Xenopus tropicalis: one gene and its partners. The protein of the gene in region 3 interacts with the protein of the main gene of each other region in a biochemical or structural test. Links are inferred from orthologs where the notes say so. Each region holds a gene or a part of one and is shown on either strand. Other genes may lie near its edges.

Region 1 (5,735 bases), on a different chromosome or scaffold from region 3:
GCTTTGGGGCAGTTACACTGGAGCCCCAGTAGGTGCTGCTCTCCTTGTACCATAGTGCCTGAGCCTCCCTCCCTGTGGACTGGGGTGGGGGGTAAATTTTGGTTGTAAGTTGAAATTATTGTCCGGCATGTCGGTCTGAGTTATGTTATGTTCTTTCTTGTGAAGTTTTTAATAAAAACACATAAAAACCCTGTGGTTTAAATGCTGCCGGAGGCCACAAGGTGTGTGACAGTGCTGCTGTAACTCCGTCTATGGTGGTGACTGTGGGATTTGAGGCTATGAGAGGAAGCTGCTAGTAGGAGATAAGGTGTATGGGGACCTGAACAGATAAACCCTCAGACACAAGGACAAGTAATTGGTTGCACGACTCAGAATACACAGATGCCCTGCCAAACAGACTCCGCTGAATCGTAATAGGAATAGTAAAGGCTACACTAAAGCTTTATATTACACTAAAGCTTTATATTACACTAAAGCTCCCATGCACTCATCACACAGATAAATCATTCTTACTGTTCCCTGGCCCAGTTGGAGGCAGCGACTGTTTATGCCAGAAATGCCCCCTACGTTCGAATCCCACATGCCAAAGCTGCCTGTAAATAACAAGGTCCAACAAAAAAAGGGGTATATCCCCCTGGCTCTGCACCCACAAGGGCGGCCACGACCGTGGTAGGGCCACATATTCCCCTGCATGTCTCTGGAAAACTCACCCCAGTCATGGGAAATTTTAGTGACTCCCCTAGAACATGGGCTATTGTCACCCCGAGTGCCGACTGCGGGATGTGTCACATTCTTGCTGGAAGTGGCAGTTTTCTGCCCCAAAACTATGGCCATATAAACATTTATAGGAAGAGGAAAGTAAAGGGGAAATGATTACTAAGAATGATGCCTGCTTCTATCTGGTGGCAATAGCCAACCAGGGGCAGGTGCAGTTGAATCCTTATGGGCCGGTATGAAGCCAGTATGGTGTAGGGACAGGTCCAGTCCCACTGTGCTTGTTATCATTAGGTATGTGGGGGCGGTATTTGGGTGTGTGGGTGGCACATCTCAGGAGAGGGGTAGGGCGACTCCTGCATGGGACCAAAGTAGTGTTAAATTGCATTTGATCAAGTTTTTAAGTTTTTCACCTATGTTATAGAATGGCCTATTCTTAGCAACTTTCCAGTTGGTCTTTATTTTTTGTATTATTTGAATTATTTGCCTTCATTTTCTGCCTCCTTTCAGCTTTCAAAAGGGGGTCACTGACCCCAGAATGCTCTGCAAGGCTACAAGGGGAGATTTGTGATATAGAAGGGGTGGGGTGATGATGAAAGAGGGGGAACTATCTCTCAAACAGGATCAGGGAAAGAGAAAGGGTAAGTTTTAGGTGGATTCTGGGTGGTTTGGGGCTTTAGGGGAGGGGCCAGAGGCTGAACTGTATGAATTGGAAAGCAGGGCTGTTGATTTCTATAACATGGTGTATGCTGTTTGGCCAGGGTCAGACTAGGCACTTGCAGCGGCCCCCCTTCCCGACCACTCCTGCCCTGACGCATTAATTTTATACGCTCAGGGGAGGACGTCGGGTGGGCCCTTCACCCCCCAGTCCGACCCTGTGTTTGTCTGATTGAAAATGTAACCCCCCCAAATATTAAAGGGGATATCAACTCTCAATGAATGTGTTGCCTAGTTAAAAAAAGTATGACTTTCTATAGTGATAATATTTACAAATAACTCTTAATCCATTGAACATTAGTAACGTGGATTGGAGAGTTGCTTAGAATTAGCATTTTCTTTCATTCGTCAAAATATTATTTTTGGGTTTGTGACCCCTTTATGGTATATAGTCTGAGGGTATGTAACCCCCAGTATAATAAAGGGGATATAAACCCACAATGGATGTTTTGCCTAATCAAAGTATGACTTTCTATAGCAACGACATTTACAAATAACTTTAAATCCATTGAACATTGGTAACATGTATATTGGAAAGTGGCTTAGAATTAGCATTTTCTTTCATTAGTCAAAACGTTATTTATTTGGGTTTGTATATTTGGGTTTGTATCCCCTTTAATGTATATAGTCTGCTTGTATATATAAAAGAGGGTCAGGTTGCTGCCCCAGATCTCTATTATGAACATAGGCAGTGTATCCATGACTATCACTTAGTAATTAGACTGTAAGCTCCCCTGCACGAATCCCTTCCTGACACACAGGGATGCATATATTGCTGTACAGGGGCCAGTTAGGAGAAGTAATGGCACAGAGAAGTTACTACTTTCCGTAGCAATATAAGGGAAGTCAACTCACTTCCCCCTTTAAATTTAAAAGCAGCCTTTTCTTTGTGTCCCCAGTATGTAGCTGGGGAGCGGGTCTGGGTCCTAGGGTTCTTCTTCAGCTCTCGGGGGGCTTCTCATACAACAGGACCCAGGACTGGAAGTGCCTTCTACAGAGAGCGGCTAATGGCTGTGATTTGATTGGTGGAGAGAACAGAATGAACTGCAAATGGAGCACGGTGCCCTTTAAGGTAGGCTGAGCTTATTGGTGTTTGAAAATCTTCAACAGTATCTCTATCACAGGGGCAGCAGCGAGGGTGCAAGGGAAAGTGAATGTAGCCAACTGGAGGGCTAGGCCACGAAATTGGTTCATCTGTATTTCTTGTATTGTTTATAGGGTTTAATAAAATTAAGTTAAAGATCAATACAGCTGTTATATGTGGTGGCCCCTTAGGGCCATGCAGGGTTCTGCACCAATCTCAGTGTTATATAATTCTATTATACCAACATTGTGCCAAACCAGAGCGCCAGGTTGTACATTGATCCATTCCATTGACCCTGGCAACCGAAAAAAAACCTGACCATTACTGTTGTACTTATTTGTTGGGTTCATCTTTCTAATTAGGACCCCCCCCCCCGTTCAAATTCCATCCTGATTTCCAAAATGATACTGGGTTGCTAGGGTAATTAAAAAATTAAGACTGATTGTAGATTGTTTTCAAATACTACTGTCTATGCCAGGGGTCCCCAACCATTTTTACCTGTGAGCCATAGTTAAATATAAAAAAGTTAGAAACACAAACGTGATCCTAGCGGGTGCCCAATAAGGGCTGTGATTGGTTATCGGTAGACCCTTGTGGATTTCAGGAGGCTCTGTTTGCAGTACACATGGTCTTTATGCTTCCAAAACTTGCCTCCAAGCCAGAAATTCAAAAATGGGCACCAACTTTGAGGCCACTGAGAGCAACTTCAAAGGGGGTGAAGAAACAACATGTTGCTTACGAACCACTGGTTGGGGACCACTGGTATACAACATACTAAGAGTTTATTTCAAGGTGAGCTACTCCATTACAGAGATTCACCATACGTCTTAATGTGCTCCTACTTGAGCTTTATGAATAAGGTGCAATTAATGGTAACATACTAAGTACAAGTTGTGTGAATGTGCCAGTCAGCTACAACTTTGTGCGATCCATAATGAAGAGCTAAGATGCTGTGCAAGCCAGAGCTAGGTGCTACAAAGGGAGTCATATATAGTCTGTCAAATGCCCAGTGTGCTAGAACAGGGATCCCCAAACTTTTTTACCCATGGGCCACATTCAAAGGTAAAAAGAGTTGGGGAGCAATGCAAGCATAAATAAGTTCATGGAGGTGCCAAACAAGGGTTATTGGGTATTTGATAGACCCTCTATGGACTGGCAGGCTAAAGGAGGTTGTGTTTGTCAGTTTTTATGCAACCGAAGTGTGCCTCCAAGCAAGGAAATCAAAAATAAGGACCTGATTTGAGGCCACTGGGAGCAACATTCAAGGGGTTGGTGAGCAACATGTGAGCTACTGGTTGGGGATCACTGTGCTAGAATGTATGGTGATTTGGACTTTGCACCAGGCACCCCTCTCATGGTCAGATTGGCCTACACGAGTACTTGGTGGTCTCGAACCAAGGTCAAGCCAATTCCCATCAGCCCTTTCCTTTTTCCACCATAGGTCTATATGACTTCTTTTTCATTAGGCACTGTCTACACCTAATTGTTGTGAGCCCTCAATGTCAGGTACTTTGTTGGGCCCAGTCCAACACTGTCCTCCTTAAATGAGCCTTTAAGTCCTGGTGCCGTGCGTGATGGCTGGCTAATTTCTACATTCAGATGATTTCAAAATGTGGTCAATTGTGTGGAAGGGCCACTGAGGCTTTCTCAATTCCTCATAGAGAGGTTTTTCCTAATTTACTCAATAATCCGCAAAGCCGCTACTCATAACATTTTACATTGTTTTATTACCCACATGAAGCTTGAAACTTTGTGTGGTTCCAGTTCAGCTACGTTCAGTGCTGGTATCTTTTCATGCTGCCCATTTTTTGCCACACCTGCTGGAGTGCTGCCCCATGCATGTTTCTCTATATGCCTTATGGTAGAAACTATACTTGTCAGACATAGATCTTGTATTTTTAGTCCATTTGAAAAGATCCTGCCTCTTGACCATGTGAGAAGAACTGACCATCTGTTGGGTTCACATTCAAAGTGAGGTTGATTTCATAACAGTTGCAAAACATGAAACATTCTTGGAAAATAAACTAGCACAGCACCTTTGGTAGGCATCTGGGATACCAGTTGGTCATGGACTTTGACTAAATTGGCAGCCTATAGACCTATATCCTTATATTTCCTCTTAGAAATAGGGCAGGGGTGGCACCATTTAACATTTTACGGATAACCAATTCAGTCCCTGGGCTTCTATATCTAACGCAAGTTCCATCATCCATGTTATTTTATGGTCTGTACTTGTGGCAATGAGCCTTTAGTTCCAGTTGGTTGGAAGCTTCTAAGTCTTGTGATCCCCCTTTTCCTCTCAGGGACAACCAAGAGGATATTGTCGATCACAAGAACCCATGTGGCATAAAGCCTATAGGCAGGTGTTTATGGGAGTACAAATTGTACTGGGCAGAGTTATGAAGCCAAATGCTTATTAGAGTAATATTAAACTGGAAAATTTAGGTCAGAGGAGGGGGCAATGCTTCTTTGTGGACCAACATTCATTTAGGATCTACTTAACCTATAAAAAAGTAAAGAAATATGTGTTCACACCATATATTATCTTAATAGTGCTTCTAGGAGAGGCAGTAAACATTAGTCCTGAATGGCACTCCAATTAGCCCTCAGAATGGCAATTTCAGATTGGGAAGGGCATTTAGTCAAGCGCAGGCCATAAACCTAAAAACGGAAGGGCAGCCAGTGAAATGTTCATAGAAACTGGGTTGGAAAAGCAAAAAGAAAATATTGACATTCATCAATTATTATTTTCCTGAGACAAATTAGAGAAAATAACCATATGACAGCATTTATGTTCCAATAGTTTGACCAACAGAACAAGCCTCACAGTTGCTTTGTTATTGCTGGAAGTTTGAAAGTAAGCTGGTTACTTTATAAGAAACATTGGAAACATGGGAAAAATATTTACAAGAAGTGGGACTCTCCCTGGAAATTAGATTGCAGTCACCCATGTTCCCCTTCATGTTGAGAAAGGTTTTAGGTTGAACTGGGGAAACCTCAGTCTTCTCAAGTTGGTGTTTTTTCATGTCTGGTTTGCCCGTGAGTAAGAGTAGAATACACTTTAGACACCTCATATCAGTGGTACCAAAACTGGAAGTTTGGCTTCTCTGGGGGTGTGGAGCAGTGGCCCAAGCTGGGTGGGAATTGGGCCAGAAGATGCAAGCTGGGGGGGAGGTTTGCTCTGTTATGTTATGCCACTGTTTGGGGCAAAAACTTATAA
Region 2 (4,945 bases), on a different chromosome or scaffold from region 3:
TGTCAAGTTCTGTTTCTACCACATGTTCACAAACCACACCAACCATCCTAAAACAAAAGGAATCTGTTGTCTATTCTAAAGCTGGCCATACACGTGGCGATCTCACGATGTTTCGTACGACCGTCGGTCGCACGAAACATCGTCAGATCCGCCACACACCATTCAGGGCTGAATCGGCAGGTAAGGAGGTAGAAACAATAGGATTTCTACCTCCTTCTGCCGATTCAGCTCTGAAGGGAGAATTTTGGTCAGGCGCCTTCTATGGCGCCCGATCAACATTTTCTAACTTGGCCGATCGGCGAGCCGACCGATTTCAGCAGCTTCCTGCGATATCGGTCGGCTCGCTGACATGCCATACACGCACCGATTATCGTACGAAACGAGGTTTCGTACGATAATATCGGTGCGTGTATGGCCACCTTAACAGTCTTGCCACTGACACCTATGTTACTGTTTGATATAACAATAATCATAGAAATGCACAATTGTGCAATCCTAAGAATTTGTACTTAAGTGAAAGGACTAAGTTTATGACCATGGAATGGTTTAATAATTGCATATTTTAATTGTAACCCTTTATTACAAAAGATCTGTTGCACAGAAGAAAGAGCTATTAGTTTACTTTAGGGATTCACCAAATCTGGATTCAGCCAAGATTCGGCCTTTTCAGCATGATTCAAATTCAGCATGATCCGAATCCATGCCTCTGGCCAAACAGAATCCAAATGATTAAAATCACGTCACATAAACACAGAGGTTGAAAATTAATTTTTTATAACACGCTTTGTGTGTGATTGCCTTCCTTATCCTATGCAAATTAGGGTTCTAATTTAGTTCAGTATTCGGCCGAATACTTCCCAAAGGATTCTGGGTTTGGCCAGACCCTAAAATAGTGGATTCGGTGTATCCCTAGTTTACTTATTAGTTCATCAACTATGAATGATTCTATGGAGCTAACCTGTACTAAAACAATTCAACTGTGGCAATAGATTTTTTTCTGATCTCTGCTAATGAGCATCTCTCCAAGCTTTTAGAAGGCAAGTAGTCTGCTATTGTAAATGTTTATGTCTTTATGTCTTAGGAACGTCGCCCCTTCTTTGTTGAGGAAAAAGTGCCGTGGCCCAAGATGTGCCATACTTTAAATATGAAATTTGTGTCTGAAGTGGGTACAAAGCAAGAGCTGCAAGAAGAACACTTTGTTTTTCTTGCCCAAAAGATCTTCAATGACAACAGCTTAAGTGACAACAAAGACCGCATGGTTTCATGGACTCAGTTCAATAAGGTAAGGAGACCTTGATGAGCCATGTGTTATTCTAGTATGTGAGAGTACCATCGTGCTTGCTTAGTAATGGATCCTGACAGTTATTTCAGTTCTTTTAGCAATATACTCCACTAAGCAATATTGCATGTGAGGTTCAAGTAGAGTGTTTATTCCTCATTAAATTGTTGGGGTTTGTACATACAACCAATCATTTTTTTTTAGTATACTTGACTTTTAGAAGATTTTTCATCCTTTTTTTTACTTTTTTAAAGGAGCCTCTTCGGGAAAGGAACTTTACATTTTGGCAGTGGTTTGATGGTGTTGTGGATCTCACCAAAAAGTGTTTAAAAGATTACTGGTCTGACAGGTGAGATAAATGTGAAAAGTATATCTTATGTTTGCTACCCTAGGGGCCATGCATTGGCTGTAAGGCTAGGGTCTCAGAATCATAATTAAAGTATTTATCCCTTGTTCCTTTTGTCCCATATTTCACACTTACTAGTACTGCATAAATAGTCTTTTTCCTCACATTTCTTAACACATCCCCAATCTTTGGGCTGCTGTAAGTGTAGCAGCTCTCTGTGTTTCTTCCTGAAAGTCAGTGTATGAATAAAGAGATGACAAAATCCGAGCTACCGTAGCATGCTATTCTATGTGACTCTTTTTTATGCTTCAGGTTAATTATGGGCTTTATCAGCAAGCAGTATGTTCACAATATACTAAGTACTCAGCCTGATGGAACCTTCCTCCTGCGTTTCAGTGACTCAGAGATTGGTGGCATCACCATAGCACATATTTTAAAGAGAGAGGATGGTGAGTTTTCCTGAAAACAAAGAATGTTACAGTTCCGCATATACAATATTACAAACCAAAACATCCCCAAGTGTAATTTTTGTGTCATCTTTAATGGCTATTTAATTGTTCCTAGACAAAAAAATAATTTTGGATTGTAAGCACTTACCTGATACCCTGAAGCAGTGCTCCTGTTAGCAGAAACCTGCACCAGCCCAGGGTAATTCTGGAGGAGAACCCCGGTGCGATCCTCCTCTTGCTTTATCTTTCTTTGTGTGGGTCCCTATGCGCAGTAGAGTAAAAAGCTGAACTTTAAGAAAAAAGTCGACTTCTTCATTCTACTGCATGTTCTCCTGCCCGCACCCCAAGGAAAGAAGATCCCCCACTGGGGATCAGCTTCTACAGAATTACTCCAGACTGGTGCAGTCTTCTGCTAACAAAAGAACCAGCCTGGGGTATCAGGTTAGTGATTACAATCACTGGGGGTGCCTAACATTTGGCAACCCCCAGTGATTATTCCTTTTCTCTCTCCTTTAAAATAAATCTTCCTTTATTGGATTACTGTGTTCAACTGCAAAATCCACTTCCGCTCTTTTTGAAGGATTCATTTATCCCAATTCCTTCACACCCTGGATGGGTTACTCAATCAATCCCCAAACAGTGCATTATTAAGGGGTCAAATTTTACCGAGTACTACATGCCTATAAAGTGTACACACTGCTAGTATTTTATGCAGTTCTTTACATCACTATATTTATTTTGCTGTTTTTAAGGTTCTGCTCAGATCCAGAATATCCAGCCATTCACTGCTAAAGATCTGAATATCCTTTCTCTTGGTGACCGTGTCAGAGATCTAAAACAGCTAAAATATTTGTACAGTAATAAACCCAAAGATGATGTCTTTGGAAGACACTACTCAAGTATGTAATCCTTTATAGTGTTTCTTGTTAGTGAGTGTATTGTTAGTAGGATAAACCTATTACTTGTTGCATTCTTTTCATGCTTAGCATTGACCTGGTGCATTTGTGTTTAATGCTGCTTTTCCTCCAAGATTATGATAATTATGGGGGAAAAAAAGGGACAAAACTTGCTCAAAGATAATAACTAGCAACTAACAAAATATTTACTAATTACAGTAGAAACACAAAGTGCAGACTGGTTGCTAGGGATTGCTGTGCCCCTCTTATAATATATCCCCTAAATATATTTCTCTTACAGTATAATACTGTTAAGATTTTTTTTTTAATGTTAGCAATAGTTCCCATAATTTATTACAAGTAGGTAGAGAATGTATTTATCCTCTTGTCTAATGTAACAAAACCTCTTTAAATGGCAGTGGCATTAAACTGTAGCTGTTTGTTGCTGAGGTGGGAATGGCATGTGGGATGTTGCAGTTCAGCAGAGTCTAAAGCTTACTCTAATGATTAATGCAAGATTATGGACAACCTGATATTATTGTGCTGACACTGATGATTACAGAGAAATAAAACATCCTAAGCCATCCAACATTCCATCATAAACAATGCCTCCCTTCCGTCTACTAAAAAATACAAAGGAGGTTTTGGGAGCACAAGAATAATGGAAGTGCAATTGCCCTGGTCAAAATTGCCTCAGAGAAAAATCAGTGCTCATCCCCTGCCCTAACTAGTAGTTTTATCTGTGCTAGTGAATACATTTTCATAAACAGGAAGGTTTGGTTACACAAAACACAGAAAGAAATTGCCAGCGCTCGGTCTAGCCCACGCTGTAGCATTGACGTTAGGAAGGTTTAGTTAGAATAACTAGGTGATTATAAGCCACAATACTGCCCATTGTAAACCCCATATGGTGGCCTTAACTATCTACTTGTGGCCATGTTTTTCATTAGCTGGCACCTCCAAGCTTTGTTGGATAATCTGCCAAAGTCTCTCACAGGCAGATGCTCTCCTGTTGTAGTTGTTGTGTTGTAATGAAGATGAGAGATCTTTAAGACCAAAGCCCGATTTTATAGACACAAGACCAACAGGTTCATAGTGCAAGAGGAGTTTGGTCTGTCTTCCATCTCTTTCTTCTCCTGTGGGAATAAATCAAGCATGTCGGTGAAGCTGCTGTCAGGTTACTGTTACAGCAGACTGCATTGTGAATTGCCTTCAGCTGAAAGAGAATCCAGTCCTTCGATTCACTACAGCTATGGCCAGCACTGCTACATTTCCAGATCCACTAAATTGCTATTGCTTCTTCATATTGCTGTCTGAACCAGCCTGTTCAGAGGATAAGTTCCATGTAAGCATAAGGACACATGGAAGCGATAAAGATCTTTGTGTGGAACAGTGTAATATATATGGTGATGGTGTGTGGTGAGTTTGTACAGGTAAGGGATCTGTTATCTGGAAACTTGTTATCCAGATAGCTCCAAATTACAGGAAGGCCAGCTCCCAAAGACTCCATTTTAATAAAGTAATTCAAATTTTTGAAAATGATTTCCTTTTTCCCTGTAAAAATAAAACAGTAGCTTCTACTTGATCCCAGTTAAGACACAATTTATCCTTATTGGAGGCAAAACAATCCTACTGGGTTTATTAAGTGTTCAAATGACCTTTTAATAGACTTGGCATGGAGATACAAATTACAGACATTATCTGGAAAACCCCAGGTCCTGAGCATTCTGGATAACAGGTCCCATACCTGTATTTGTGGTATTTTAGTACATTCACAACTACGGCTCTCTACACAGTGTGCTAAGCAAATCATTTACTTTGCAGTTTAGATCTGTTTTACAAATTTCAACTTTGCTGCATTAACCTCCTTATTTACTTAGAAAAAACATCAAAAACGCCAGATGGATACACCCCAACACTGATAACATTAAAGGTTGCTGGCGGGTAGGTATTCACTGATGTCTGAATATATGTA
Region 3 (5,660 bases):
GGTATGGTACCTAGGGATTGGAAGAAGGCGAATGTCATTCCCATATTTAAAAAGGGAGTAAGATCTCAGCCTGGCAATTATAGGCCTGTAAGTTTGACATCCGTGGTGGGCAAGTTATTTGAAGGCTTGTTAAGGGATCACATTCAAAATTATGTAGTGGAGAATGCCGTTATGAGCAGTAATCAGCATGGCTTTATGAAGGACAGGTCATGTCAGACCAATTTAATTGCTTTTTATGATGAGGTAAGTAAGAAGCTGGACAGTGGGGATGCAGTAGATATAATCTATTTGGATTTTGCCAAAGCATTTGATACCGTTCCCCACAAACGACTGCTTTCTAAGCTAAGGTCTATTGGTCTTAGTGAAGTCGTTTGCACATGGATAGAAAACTGGCTACAGGATCGGGTACAGAGGGTGGTTGTTAATGGTACATTCTCTACTTGGAATAAGGTCCTCAGTGGGGTCCCTCAGGGTTCTGTACTGGGTCCACTTTTGTTTAATTTGTTCATAAATGACTTAGGGGAGGGTATTATGAGTAATGTATCAGTGTTTGCAGATGACACAAAACTCTGCAGACCAGTCAATTCTATCCAGGATGTGGCATCCCTGCAGCAGGATCTTGACCAACTGGCAATCTGGGCAGCTAAGTGGCAGATGAGATTTAATGTGGATAAATGTAAGGTCATGCACCTGGGATGTAAAAATATGCAAGCCCCGTATAACCTTAATGGGACTGCACTAGGCAAATCCATAATGGAGAAGGACCTTGGAGTCCTTGTAGATAATAAACTTGCAAACAAGGTTTTGAGCTGTATTAAAAGGGGCTTAGATTCACGGGAGGAGGGGGTTATTCTTCCCCTTTACAGAGCACTGGTAAGGCCCCATCTAGAATATGCTGTTCAGTTTTGGTCTCCAGTGCTCAAACGGGACATTATTGAGTTAGAGAGGGTCCAGAGAAGGGCAACTAAGCTGGTTAAGGGTATGGAAAGTCTCAGTTATGAAGAAAGACTGGCCAAGTTGGGTCTGTTTACACTGGAGAAGAGGCGCTTAAGAGGTGACATGATAACTATGTATAAATATATAAAGGGATCATATAATAACCTCTCTAATGTTTTATTTACCAGTAGGTCCTTCCAACGGACACGAGGGCACCCACTTCGTTTAGAAGAAGGGAGGTTCCATTTAAATATTTGGAAAGAATTTTTTACAGTGAGAGCTGTGAAGTTGTGGAATTCCCTCCCCGAATCAGTCGTGCTGGCTGATACATTATATAGCTTTAAGAAGGGGCTGGATGGATTCTTAGCAAGTGAGGGAATACAGGGGTATGGGAGATAGCTCTTAGAACTAGTTGATCCAGGGACTGGTCCGATTGCCATCTTGGAGTCAGGAAGGAATTTTTTCCCCTCTGCGGCAAATTAGAGAGGCTTCAGATGGAGTTTTTTGCCTTCCTCTGGATCAACTAGTAGTTAGGTAGGTTATATATAGGCATTATGGTTGAACTTGATGGACATATGTCTTTTTTCAACCCAACTTACTATGTTAAAGGTTAAAAAATAGAACAAAGAGTGGACAATAAAAGAAATAATAGACAGGGTGGCAGATGGGGAACTGAGGAAAAAAATATAGAAATGGAGAAGATAACTCAAAAAAGAAAAACCAGAGAAGAACAAGCATTACAAAAGGTAAGGAAAGAGGTGGAGCAGAAAATAAATGGGAAAGAGCTGAATTATTTCTGGAAAGATAAGTAAGAAAGAAGGAAAGAAAGGTAAAAGGAGTATAGAAGAAGGCCTAGTGCCCAAAGAGCAGAAGAAAGATATTCATATAGCTATCGAGCTAGGGTAACACCCCTAACACAAATGTTTTACTGGGTTACTGGTCAGGGATAACTGCTCTTGTTTCTTCATTTAGCTGATAATACTTCCAATAATATTTGGTTGAGAATAGTTCACAAAGAAATTAAAAAAAGCTTCTTTGGTTGTATTAGTTGGTTAAGTTAAGCTTTAACAAATTGTTATACCAGGAATTGTGTCAATGCTTTGTTAGCATTGACATTTTGCTTTACGTTCAGAAATCACCATTAGTGTCCTGCAAATCTAAAAAAGTTAGAGCTTAGGAGCTACCCAGTTACTTTTATATCTCTCCATAATTAAAGTTGCCCAACTAGATCCTCATGTAAGCATTTCCTTCATTTCTCAGTTGTTCTTCGTACACCCATTGAGACAAAAAATATTGGATATGAAAATGCCAACAGTTTGACGCAGTATTGTATATGGCAGTATTGTATATTGTATTGTATATCCCCAACCAGTGGCTCGTGAGCAACATGTTGCTCCCCAACCCCTTGAATGTTGCTCTCAGTGCCCCCAAAGCAGGAAGTTATTTTGAAATTTCTGACTTAGTGGCAAATTGTGGTTGAATAAAGCCTCCTGTAAGCTGATAGTGTGCATAGAGGCTACCTAATAACCAATCTTAGCCCTTATTTGGCACCTCCATGAACTTTTATGATGCTTTTGTTACTCTCCAAGTCTTTTTACATTTGACTGTAGCTCATGAGTAAGAGAGGATGGGGACCCCTGGTATATGGGGTAATATGAGAGTGTAGAGATGTAGTGGCCATTCATGTAAATAATTTATTTAAAACTCCAATTCTGCTGGGACTATTACTCAATACATATGTTTAATTATGGCATATTTTAGAGGGCATGTACCAAAAAAGTTCATGACCTGGGTGCCAAGTTGTAGTTTAACAGTACTTAGTTCAAGAAATACCAGCACTCCCGCTATATATATATATATATGACTGCTTTATTTACGGCTTTAATGTCTGCTAACTAGTCTAGCATAGAGATGTGTGTGTTGTCTATATATGGCCTGTAAAGGTAATTTTGGGAACTATCTTTGTGTGTACTGTAATAATTGCATTACATCCATATTTAGCCTACAGAAGATAATGAAAGCTGATATAGCACTTGGAGTATAGCGAAAGTTGTACACAAATTATATTACCTTAAAGAGAGCAGCGTCCTCTTCTCGGTTATAATCCTGTTTTCCTGCATGTTTCCAAGGAATACGAAAAATACTTCTTTCCTCATTTTCCCACACCAATCCAGGGTATTTTCCACTGTCAATTTGGTCAATCAACCACTGCCTTAGCTTTCCGTTTCCACAACTAAGTGGTGTCATTCCACAGTCTCCGTCTTGGTGCATACCGTGCCAAATGACCTTTGTTTCAGCGCTAGGAACAATAAAGAAAAACAAAAAAAGGAAACAAGGAAAAAATATGCTTTCTTTATTGTATGATCAGCAAATAGAAGCATACTTATCCACAAAATCATTATTTGCCAATTGAAGCATTAATGGTGTACTAACATGGGCAAAACTGACATACAGCCAATCAGATGCTTACTTTCCCTGCATTAGATCATTAAGGCTTATGCCACACATGCGGATTATCAGACAAATAAATGAAGGTCAAGAATTTCCTCCTGTGCTTTAATCAGTGCTCTTTTGTGTCTGCACTGGAACCATTGCATCAGCCCGGGTGCAGCTACATGGAGCAGATTTTGGCCCAAAATGCTTACTCACACATTTCAGAGTGTTTTGAAATCCATTCTCTGTGCCTGTACCTGGTCCAAAACAGCAGCTCCTGGTGCAGACACATGTGACATAAGCCACGTATACCTACAGCTAAGTTTTTATCAGTTGCTTTGAGCTACTGGACTGGAGCAAATGTTATAACCTTGTACCTGCATAAAAAGCAGCAAGGCAAGAACAATGGAAAAAAGCATCTAAAATCTCCATGACTAAAGTACTGCAAAATTCAAAGTGTAAAATATCAGAGCAAATCGCCATGTTTTTACCCACAATGCAGCATTTTTTCAAGAATTCTAGAGCAACAGCCAGTGAGCACACCACTGTTATGGGTTACTGCACGTGGGCACATTTTGTGCCTTTTATTACATATGGGGGTATGTGGTAAGGTTCACAGAATATGTACACTAACATAAGATCAACATATTCTTGATATTGTTCAGAATAAAAACGCCTATACCAAAATGAACACCACATTATAATAGTAGAGGGCCTGATGACCAATTTTCAATCCCAAAACTGCCTAATCATGCAAATAACTGCGATGTGTTCTGTGTGATCTAACATGTGACTAACAGTCATGTGAGCCTTAAGGTATATTATTAGCTGTAGGGGAATTTACTTTGGTTTGTACCAAATTCTCATAAATTAACAAAGCAGATAATTTATCAAGCTTTTATCTATTGCTATTAAGTTCATGTTTTGCATAATAAGGGAATACATTTATTGAAATACATTACAATATTAGTATCCTGCACTGAGAGTCTTCTCAGTTAAAGTTTATAAGAATAAATGACCTTTCTAAAACTCACCCACTGCACCCCTAGACCTTGAAAGTCCCAGCCAGTCAATTAGATGACAAAAACCTTTCCTTATTCAATGCAGATTTTTATTTTCCCATAGAGCCAGATGTAATTCAATGACAAAATCTCACTGTTTATCACATGGAAACTTTATTTTGGCCTGTCAGTATTACAAATTTGTTGTCAAACACCAGAAGGACATAGTGTTATTTGGGTATGTGCTTTTCATGCTTTCAGTTGTGGTCAAAAAAACAGAGAGCTGTCAGGACTAGAGATTCCCTTGCATTCATTAAACTGACCCCAGGGAGTAAGTGTTATTGAGCCATGTTATCTTGAGCATGCATACCTAATATTGCTGAATTACAGCTATCAGCATTCCTTATCCACAATATATATATATTGGGGTATACAAATAAAGTTGCAGCCCAGCAACATTTAAAGGAGAAGGAAAGGTAAAAACTAAGTAAGCTTTATCAGAAAGGTCTATGTAAATACAGCCATAAGCACTCACAGAAATGCTGCACTGAGTTCTCTTTCAAAAGAAACAGGATTCCTTGTCTGTTTGTTTTAATGTGCCATTGACACGCAGCTCTCTCCTCTCTCCTGCTCCCCCCTCCCTCAAGAATGCTAAGAACTCCCCCCCCTTAGGAATGTGGATCTGAGCCAATCAGCAGGAAGCTTCCTCATAGTCTTACAAACTGAGCATGTACACCAGTCTTGGTCTTGGTGCAGGAGTGAGGCATTATGGGAACTTTTTTTACAGAGCTCAGCGGTTTTTTTTTCCTATGAGGCTTCTGATCATCTGAACAGGAGAAATATGGGGAGACTTAAGGGCACTATTGAGAGAACTGAAGGTATGCCTGCAGCTTGATATTAACTCTTTATTAGCCTTTCCTTCTCCTTTAATTAAACCATTGTTAAGCATGGTTGTTGGGTGAACAGCAGGCCTGGACTGGCAATGTGTAGATTCTGGCAAATGCCAGTGGGGCAGCTGTAAGATGCCATAGACAGTCACTGTTTATTGGGCTGTTTGGGCCTCAGTGTACTTGAAATGCCAGGGCCTATTTTAAATCCCTGCCCAGGCCTGGTAAACAGGGAATAAGTGTGTTACATGAGCTACATCTGAGGAACTATGGAATAACCAGGTGAGCCTATAAACATGCATATCCTGCCCTACCTTCAGAATGGACCCCACCCCCCCATTCATTGCACTCTGACTTATGGAAGTAGCTCCACTGCTTTGGCACATTTTCTCTATGTATAAGA

Evidence for each region.
Region 1: the proteins of irf4 (region 3) and spi1 are reported together in a solved structure, tested with the Homo sapiens proteins (2 studies listed by BioGRID, with this or other methods). The link is inferred for Xenopus tropicalis from reciprocal best matches to the Homo sapiens genes IRF4 and SPI1.
Region 2: the proteins of irf4 (region 3) and stat6 form a complex in vitro, tested with the Homo sapiens proteins (2 studies listed by BioGRID). The link is inferred for Xenopus tropicalis from reciprocal best matches to the Homo sapiens genes IRF4 and STAT6.

Annotation. Positions count from the first base shown.
Region 1 is NC_030680.2:15,891,900-15,897,634, reverse strand, and holds the start of spi1 (transcription factor PU.1), read left to right. Parts: upstream 1-2,327; 5' UTR 2,328-2,470; coding exon 2,471-2,503; intron 2,504-5,735. UniProt on the Homo sapiens protein: Pioneer transcription factor, which controls hematopoietic cell fate by decompacting stem cell heterochromatin and allowing other transcription factors to enter otherwise inaccessible genomic sites.
Region 2 is NC_030678.2:139,265,870-139,270,814, reverse strand, and holds part of stat6 (signal transducer and activator of transcription 6), read left to right. Parts: intron 1-1,081; coding exon 1,082-1,282; intron 1,283-1,533; coding exon 1,534-1,628; intron 1,629-1,937; coding exon 1,938-2,074; intron 2,075-2,826; coding exon 2,827-2,973; intron 2,974-4,850; coding exon 4,851-4,914; intron 4,915-4,945. UniProt on the Homo sapiens protein: Carries out a dual function: signal transduction and activation of transcription. Involved in IL4/interleukin-4- and IL3/interleukin-3-mediated signaling.
Region 3 is NC_030682.2:87,214,873-87,220,532, forward strand, and holds the start of irf4 (interferon regulatory factor 4), read right to left. Parts: upstream 3,306-5,660; 5' UTR 3,208-3,305; coding exon 3,007-3,207; intron 1-3,006. UniProt on the Homo sapiens protein: Transcriptional activator. Binds to the interferon-stimulated response element (ISRE) of the MHC class I promoter. Binds the immunoglobulin lambda light chain enhancer, together with PU.1.